Linked DNA regions of Oryzias latipes. The protein of the gene in region 2 purifies or fractionates together with the protein of the main gene of each other region. This does not show direct contact. Links are inferred from orthologs where the notes say so. Each region holds a gene or a part of one and is shown on either strand. Other genes may lie near its edges.

Region 1 (4,286 bases), on a different chromosome or scaffold from region 2:
TTTGTACACAAACCGTCACATGTAAGGCATTTCATTCAGTCACGCGTAGCTTTTGTCCAAAGGGGAGCGGACACCTGTGCTCAGGTGAGTGTTCATATTCTACTGAGGTGGATGATGGAATGTAAAAAGAGGGAGAATGCCCGGCCGTCCCCACACCAAGACCCCCATTTTAAATCCAGATTTTTCTGACTTTTATATTCTTGTGTTTCGAGTTTCTGATCTTTGTAAAAAATAAAGAAAAAAGACTAATTTTTGGTTAATTCTGCTGTGTTTGCTAATCAAACAGCATTTATGCCACATTTAAAGCAGAATCCCTTTAGAAGATGGTGCTTCTTCACTTGATACATTACCCTTTTTCCTCCTGGCCGCCACATAGATCTTCTTCAGGCCTTCATCCAGAGCCGTTAAGAGGATCCCAGACAAGTTGTGGGCCTTGTCTCGTCGCTGTGCCACAATAAGCGCCAACTGAGGTGACAGAAAGGAAATGAATACAGGTTCCTGTCTTATCAGATGGCAGCTGTCTCACACACTCAGCAGAGCCGGATCTCACACAAGTAAAAAAATAAAAAGCTACTAAAAGTGATCAAACTTTCAAGCAGGAGGACGCTCCCGGCCACTGAGCAGAACCTGCCTGATCTTGGCCGTCCGGTCTGGATTGTTTGTCATCAATGGGGAAGAGCAGAACGCTCCCCAGCTCCAAATCTGAAAGCCACATTTTCGTGCTTTAGCGGTGGCGTTCCACTGCAGGTTCAGGTGTTTCACGGAGTTGATGTTGCCCGTCACCTTTCATCTTGCCGGCCAGCTCATAGCGTTTCCGTGGCTCGTCTGATCTCACCTCCAGCGCCGTAAAGACGCCTCCTCTGCCCCATCGGCCTGAGTCATCTAACACAAGTCATGGCGTCAGAGAGACATGGGGGGGATGTCTGTCAGAGAAGTCTGACAAGCAAAAAGGTGTGTTGCCATGGGTGCAGCGCTTACCAACACAATGGATGATGATCGCATCTCCTTTAGCAGCGTGTGGGTGGGTCACATCTCCAAGAACGTAGCAGATATCCACACTGTTTGAATCCATGGAGCAAGAGCTGCTGCCATCCTCCTCATCCTCGTCTTCTTCACTCACAACAGGCGGCAGACAAAGCGACCTGTAGCCAGAGGACTCCCACCATGCCATTCTGCACAAACAGAAAAGCAAAAGGTTTGGGTGAAACTCACATGGATGAAGTCAATGAGCAGAAAAATGGTCACATTTGCGCGGTACTTTTTGGCCTGCTGCTTCCTTTTCAGGTCCTCCTGAAGCTTTGCTCTTTTGGCTGCAGCGTCCTCCCTCCTCTTCCTCCGGAGCTCCAGCTCCGCTTCACTCAGAGGTTTCCTCTTCCTCGTCGGAATCCCAACAGCCACCGAGAGGGAGACCTGACACAAACAGACCAACAGAACATGCAACGCTTCCATTTGAATGTACTCCACTTTGAGAGAGAAATGCTCTTCAAATGAACACGAGTGAGATTTTATACCTGTAAATATCTGTAAACAATCACAACCAAAACAAAAACCTTATTGGTGAAGTTAAAGAAATTGATATATATTTATTTTATTTAATTATTTATTTTACAATTATTAAAACTAATTAAACTAAGTCAACTAAATTTGATTAAAATTACATTAAATTCAAATTTTTTTTAACTTAAAATGCATTAACTTACAGTGTATTAAATGTTATTAAATTAAAGTATTAAACAAAACAATTAAATTCCATTTAAAAAAGATAAGTAAAATTACATTAATTACATAGGGGTTTGGCTATTTTGAAACTTTGGATGCAGAATAAATGACATTCATTGTCAGTTTTCTATTTTACAGAATTGAATCACAAAAATATGCATCTGCATTACTGCATCTGTGGGAAACACGTTTGTGTTCATGAGCTCCAGGCTCTGATAAAGTAACTATCAGGAGGGACGATGGCTTTTCCAGTGTCAAATAATGTTAAAGTGAAGAACATTTTTAACTACATATCTATGCAGGACAGTTTTTGGAGAAAACCAAAACTCATCTAAACAAAACATAAAAGATCTTTGAACAAAATACATCAAAATTGACTTTTGGCTGAAACTACATCAAAAGTATCACCAAAAAAAAAAAAAAAGAGAGATTGATCAAAGTCCAGACCTGAAATCTCCCATAAGGATAATAAAGACTTGAGTGGAGAGGGAATTTCTCTAGTGTCTTAAGTTTAGGTTTGTAAACTGGTTTAAGAATCTCACTCCAGCTTTGTGTCTCAGAGCTCGTCCCTCCCCCACAGCCTTCTGAATCTCAGCCAGCTGCTCCTCCAGCAAACGGTCAAAGATCTTCCGGTCCTCGGAGCTTGGGTCCCGACTGTAGTCTACGCCCTCAAAGATGTACATGTGGTCTAGAGGAGGAGACAACCGCTCGTCGAAGGTCAAACAGAGAAATATTTTGAAGTAAAAAGAACATACTCAGCTCGTCAGATTCAGGTCTTTCCTCCTCTTCTTCCTCTTCTGCAACTGCCTTCAAGTCCTCGTCATCGACCCACTGACCGCCTCGCGATGACCCAAATATATTCTGGAGGTTTACATCCTGCACCGAGCTTTCATCTGATGACAGGAGCTTATCTACCCCAAACTTCAAGATTTCACTTAACTGGAAGGGACGGGACATGGAAGCCGGATCACGAGGACTTGTGGAGAAACCGGATCGTCGTGCAAACGGGAACTTACCTGCACGCCTGCGGCTGCTGAATGAGCTTGATCCAGTAAAGAGAAACGTCCATCTTGAATGACAGTGTTGGTGAGCTGCAGCTTGGACGCGGCGCGCGAGTACATGATCTCCTCCACCGTGTCTCTAGCCAGGAGCCGGATCTGCTTCACAGGCCTGTGGGAAGTTTAGAGATCCACTCTGATCATCTTGTGATCCAGTTTCAAAGCATTTGTAGTGTTTTTTTTTAAAATCATGATTAAGCCGTTTTCAACCAAAACAAAAGTTGTTGTTTTGTAGGACATAGTTTCTGCAGAGCGGCCGTTATTTTGAAAACGTCTGGACTGTTGGAGTGGAGCCAGCCTGCCCCCCTTCTGCTCCCCATTGCTGAGAGCTCTGCGTATACGTGCTCTCCCACCCCCATAAATAAATACCGTATTTTCCGGACTATAAGTCGCCCTTTTTTTCATAGTTTGGCAAGGGGTGCGACTTATACTCCGCAGCGACTTATATTAGAAATAAAATGAAATAAATACATTGTTAACCCTCCTGTTATTTTCATTTGTGAGGAACAGAGATGATGTTCCTGGGTCAATTTGATGTATGAGGTATGTTAAGTGTTTAGAGTATGTTAAGTGACTCAGAGAATCAGCAAACTTTTTTTACAATAAGATCTTGAAGGTTAACAACATAATATTCTATTTTCCAATGATTTCATAGATTCAGAAATGCGATAAAAATGACAACCGTTTCTACAAATACAGGATGAAAACAGAGTATTAGTTGGCCAATGATGCTTCATGAAAGGAATAAATAAATAAGTTTGAGAAAGAATTACTGTGAAATTATGAGATAAACAGTCTGCTATGATTGTGTCATAAGGTTGTGCAAGTTATTAGCTCTTGGTCTCAGATTTTGTCAAATAAATTTCTCGTCAAAATGCGACTTATAGTCCAGTGCGACTTCTCTGTGTTTTTTCTACTTTATAATGCATTTTTGGGCTGGTGCGACTTATACTCCGGAGTGAATTATAGTCCGGAAAATACGGTACACATTTTTTTGTCTGCTCCTGATACACAACGATTTGAATAAAAAAATACTTAAAAATGCAATTTTAAGTTTAAGTTTCCTAAGATATGTCCTCCATCATCAGAACAAATGCCAAAAAAACCATCTTCATCAGAGTGGGTCTTTTAAAAGCTTAAACTAATGTGGTTATTTACATGAAAAGAGCAGATTTGCAACTAAAATTAAAATGACTTCCTGTTAAAGGGTTGATGGTTCAATTTCTGATCTCCTCGGTTCTCAATAAAGACTCTTTTTTGACAAGTCTGACATCTAGCTGTCACAGGTTTTTTGTTTTGCTTTTAAAAACGTGTTTCCATGTTACCTGTTTTGGCCAATCCTATGGCACCGTGCCGCCGCCTGCAGGTCATTCTGTGGATTGAAGTCACTGTCCACAAAAATGACCGTGTCAGCAGCAGTGAGGTTGATGCCCACTCCTCCTGCAAGATTCATGACGGCAAAGCAAGGTGTGCCATGTGAGCTTATTTATGAGAAACTGCTGAGGACGT
Region 2 (4,973 bases):
TCAGTTTAAAAATCTAAAAATAAATGACCAACAACCCTATTATTTCTTCAAAATGTTAGCATTTTTCTTCAAAGCAAAAGAACCACAATGAAGGGATAAAAGAGCAGCATGTGGCTCTGGAGCCACAGGTTGCAGACCCCTGTTCTATTTCATCACACATGAGTTGGTTTTTGTCTGTATCTTCCATACGAACTCTATAAATGCAACCGTGTTGGTGTTTTAGACATCATGTGCTGTTCATTTTACATGTATACCATGCTTTTATACATTTTTTACAGAAATGTTTAATTGTATGATTGCCGTCCATCAAATAAACACATTTTCTGTCTGTTTTTGATACTTAAAATAATTTAAAAAACGATTTAATACTTATTGCATTCTACTTTTATCACACTAGTCATACAATTTAAGTTTTATTGGTTAAACGTACCCATTACATGGAATGGAAACCTATAATTTTGAAAGTGAAGGATTTACTTTCTTTTCAGACTGCAAGGATCGACTTCTCTTCATTCGATTGTTTTAGACTGAAGCGAGCGCGGGTACTCTGTGAGGTATCCAAATATCGTCTATTGTGAAAAATGGATCGCTTGACATTTTTTTATGAAACATTTCAAGTTTGAATACTTTTTGTTGAACATATTTTAGAGGAGTGTTGTTTATGCGGTTGAGTGGCTCCTGAGGAATGACCAAGAGGACAAATAAATATACATAAATAATAATATTTCGTTTTTGTTTTTTTAAATAAATTTATAAATAAATATATTTCAGTTGATCAAATCTTAAGTTCTTTCTTTAATTCTTCCAATCGACAAAACTGAACAAAAAAATTACCATTGTTCTAAAAAACATCTAAGGATAATAATACGAAAACAATAGCCTAGCTCTTCTTATTAAGGTCAGACTTAAAAACATAAACATACAGAAGAAGTTGCATTATGAAGAAAAACTTGTAACAAAAAGTAGAAGTATACATGCACACAAAAAATGTAATATTTGATTTATTTCCACGATTGACAGTTTATTCCAACAGTTATAGGATAATAATTATGTTGTCCATCTGATTTTTTTCAATGAAAAAAGTGATTTACATACCAAGAGATCTTCACAAAATCATATTTCTTCTTGTACGTCTTACTTTTTTGTCTAATTTACTTTAAACTATTTACTTTCTGAAAATTAGATATATAGATATGGATGGATGGATGGATGGATGGATGGATGGATGGATGGATAGATAGATAGATAGATAGATAGATAGATAGATAGATAGATAGATAGATAGATAGATAGATAGATAGATAGATAGATAGATAGATAGATAGATAGATAGATAGATAGATAGATAGATAGATAGATAGATAGATAGATAGATAGATAGATAGATAGATAGATAGATAGATAGATAGATAGATAGATAGATAGATAGATAGATAGATAGATAGATAGATAGGTAGATAGATAGGTAGATAGATAAAAGAAAACGAAAGAAAAGGTAGAATGGTAGTAAGTAAATGAAAGCAGAAAGAAAAGAAGCTTCCTGCAGAAAAGCCAATTGTCATTTTCTTTTAATGATGTCCAAGGAATATCAGAAGCCGGCTGTTTTCTAAATTTCTAAATAAGAGCTTGTGAGTATGGATAACTTAAACAATAAATATGATTTTCATAACAACAACAAAAAACATAAACTTCCATTCTACAGGCTCTGCATGCAAAGATGTTTTGAAAGATATGCTGAAGGAATGGAAGTATGTAACCCCGTTTCTTAGGTTCGGTTAGCTGTGATTTCTGTAGCTATCTGGATAAATATGCCCGCATCTATCAGATATTTGTGGACATGCGCCCAGGTTCAGCGTCCATTGGCAACTAACGCTTGTATCGGAGGTTTGACAAAAAAGAGTCAGAGTAAGCCCTCTTTACTGGATCTTGCTCGCTGCTCTTCGCGTTGTCCCTGTTGTTGCTCCTCGTGCTCTGGTGGAGAAACTTTGTCGTCTTCGGTTCAGCTTTTTAAGGATAAAGGGAAGCTATGGCCGACTCCCAGAATGACAAGCTGTTCCGAGCAGAGTACGCCAAAAGCGGCCAGGCTTCGTGCAAGAAATGCAAGGAGAAAATCGCGAAGGACTCGCTGAGGATGGCCATCGTGGTGCAGGTAAGCAGCGGCGGTCCAAGGAAACACCCGGGAGCGGAATTATTCCTACAGACTCACTTGTTTACCAAGCAGCTTCAGCAGATGTAAAAAAAAAATAAAAGTGTGTTTTTGAAAATGTGATATATAGGCCTGAGTAGTTCCGGTTTCGTCTGGACTGGTTTGGGCCCTCGTTAGCATTTATGGCTGCTAAATCTTCCGCACAAAGAGCCGCAGAGATGCTCCAAATAAATGCACTTTCCGGCATTCAAGCAGAAATGTGAGGAAAAATCACTGCTGCCTCTCAGTCTGACTCAGTCTTGGTGATTCTATCGCTTGTCTTTCGGGGGAACGTGTACCGCTCACTACTTTCTTTACTTCATTCGCTTTTTCCTTTTATTTATTCATTTAGTATTTTGTCTACCACAGGCTTCCGTTTCAGCAGATGGATTTGAAATACTAAACTTTGCATAATTAATTATTATTCTACAAGCAATTAATGCAAGTAGAATTTATATTTTTGGAAAAATACGTTGACATTCAAGTAAATTAATATGCAGGTAAAAAAATTATTATCTATAATCCAGTAAATTGTATAAAACTAATTTCTAATGCAAATTTAAAAATTAGGATGAAAAATGTAAATATCAATCACAGGTATTTATAAAAAAAAAATAGATCATATCTAGACTGATTGCTTTTATTGTCAAAAATTTTATATCAAAAGCACAGAGTAAAAATTGGCACCAACTAAACTTTAAAAAAAAAAAAATATATATATATATATATATATATATATATATTTAAATCATTTGTATTCAGATTTATATTTGTAAATTTCCCATCCTTCAGACTGATCAATTGATGGTTATTGATATTATTAAATAAACAGTTAAAATGTTTAATTTAAGGCGAGCAATTTAAATCTAAACGTAAGGAATAAAATGTAAAAATAATAATTAAACACATATATAAACAAAACTTTTATTACAGTTTGTATTTGTTTGTGGAATTAGAAAGATGTTCAAGTTTTTATTTGAAGGTATTTTTTATGATTTAAATAAAAACAAAATTGCGCTTTTGTTTTGGCGAGTCACTACAGCTAAAATGTTAAAGATAATTTGAAAAGCCTCTTATTTTTCTTAAACTGTACAGAAAAATTGAGAAAAGTCATTTTTAAAAGGAGCAGGACATGGCGACAATAGTACAATTATTTTTTTCAAAGGGTTAGTTTTTTCCTCCCATTTCACCTTCAAAAAATATTACGGTATTGCTAAATTATTTTACATCCTTTACTCGTCTCATAAAAATGTTTTTTGTCTGTTCTTTGTTCAACTTTTCAACTATCTTGTTCAATTCACCACCAAACTACACTGGAGCTTTCAGATGATCTGATATGAGCAGCAAACCCATCATTTTTTTCCAGAATCATCCAAACCCGGCAGATACAGACAGACTGAAAACTATAACTCTGCAGCTGAATGTGTTCACGCCTATGTTTACTCTGTGTCCCGCAGTCCCCCATGTTCGACGGGAAGGTCCCTCACTGGCATCACTTCTCCTGCTTCTGGCAGCGAGCCTCGGTGCAGTCCACGGCCGATGTCGGCGGGTTTTCGGATCTCCGCTGGGCGGACCAGGAAGCTGTCAAAAAAGCCATAGAAAGTGGTGGAGTGGCCGGAACAGGTCTGTGCTTGTCTGAGCTGTTTGTGCACACGGGAAATGAATTGACGTTTATCAGCGTGGTGAATGTTAGTCATCGGAAAGTCGCTTTTGTTTACTTTTTGTAGGTTGTTGAAAATTCTGACTTAAAGCACAGCGGGGTAAATTGAGGTCTCCATCTTGCAGGAAAGGGAAACTCTGGTGGTGCGGCTAAAGGAGAAAAGACGCTGAACGACTTTGCGGTGGAGTACGCCAAATCAAACCGCAGCACGTGCAAAGGATGTCAGCAGAAAATAGAAAAGGTTTGCTGCAGCTTCGTTTAAACAGTTCATTAACGGAAAGCACGCCTGTGACCTCTGACCTCTCCTCCAGGATCAGATTCGTGTGTCTAAGAAAGTGGTGGATGCAGAGAAGCCTCAGCTGGGCCTGATCGACCGCTGGTACCACACTGCATGTTTTGTGAGCCGCAGAGAGGAGCTGGCTTTCAAACCTGATTACAGCGCTGCTCAGCTGAAGGGATTCAATGTGCTGCGGGCAGAAGACAAGGAGGAGCTGAAGAAGAGGCTTCCTGCTGTAAAAACTGAGGGGTGAGGAGTAACAAAAACTATATATATATATATATATATATATATATATATATATATATATATATATATATATATATATATATATATATATATATATATATATATAAAAGTTTGACTAAGAGCTTTGACTCAGCTCTCACAGACTTGGTTTGGTCTAGAAGTTCTCTCATCTCCTCTGTTGTTTCCACTTAAAATCTCTGCCTCTCCCATCGACCTGCAGCACAGAAAAATGGCCTTAAAGGCGTCCCTGAAAGCCGTCATGGTGTATGCATACAGGAAGGGGTTCACAGCAGAGTTGGCGTGGGACAGGATGATGGTGGTGAGCAGCAGCTCCAGCGGAACGGGGCACTTTGGGCAAAGCAGGAGGAAGCAGTTGATCACATGGAGCGGAATCCAGCAGATTGTGAAGAGAAAAAGAACGAGGAAGAGCGACGTGGCCATCTTCATCTCCTTGCGCATGGTGGCTGCCGTCCTGCCCTGTCGCTCCCATCCTTCACCTTTCTCAGTCGCGATGCGCCTCATCTGCTGCTTCACCGTGAGGAAGATCTGGGCGTAGATGAGGAACATGATGAGCAGAGGTGCGAGCACGCAAGCGAAGAAGT

Evidence for each region. The genes of interacting proteins can lie anywhere in the genome.
Region 1: the proteins of parp1 (region 2) and chd1l purify together in Homo sapiens (affinity purification with mass spectrometry; 7 studies listed by BioGRID and IntAct, with this or other methods). This does not show direct contact. The link is inferred for Oryzias latipes from reciprocal best matches to the Homo sapiens genes PARP1 and CHD1L.

The regions. Positions count from the first base shown.
Region 1 is NC_019862.2:6,462,158-6,466,443, reverse strand, and holds part of chd1l (chromodomain-helicase-DNA-binding protein 1-like), read right to left. Parts: intron 4,218-4,286; coding exon 4,103-4,217; intron 2,890-4,102; coding exon 2,736-2,889; intron 2,659-2,735; coding exon 2,475-2,658; intron 2,408-2,474; coding exon 2,262-2,407; intron 1,411-2,261; coding exon 1,259-1,410; intron 1,173-1,258; coding exon 979-1,172; intron 883-978; coding exon 784-882; intron 703-783; coding exon 632-702; intron 466-631; coding exon 351-465; intron 1-350. UniProt on the Homo sapiens protein: ATP-dependent chromatin remodeler that mediates chromatin-remodeling following DNA damage.
Region 2 is NC_019882.2:7,703,688-7,708,660, forward strand, and holds the start of parp1 (poly [ADP-ribose] polymerase 1), read left to right. Parts: upstream 1-1,916; 5' UTR 1,917-2,026; coding exon 2,027-2,149; intron 2,150-3,642; coding exon 3,643-3,808; intron 3,809-3,970; coding exon 3,971-4,086; intron 4,087-4,156; coding exon 4,157-4,371; intron 4,372-4,973. UniProt on the Homo sapiens protein: Poly-ADP-ribosyltransferase that mediates poly-ADP-ribosylation of proteins and plays a key role in DNA repair.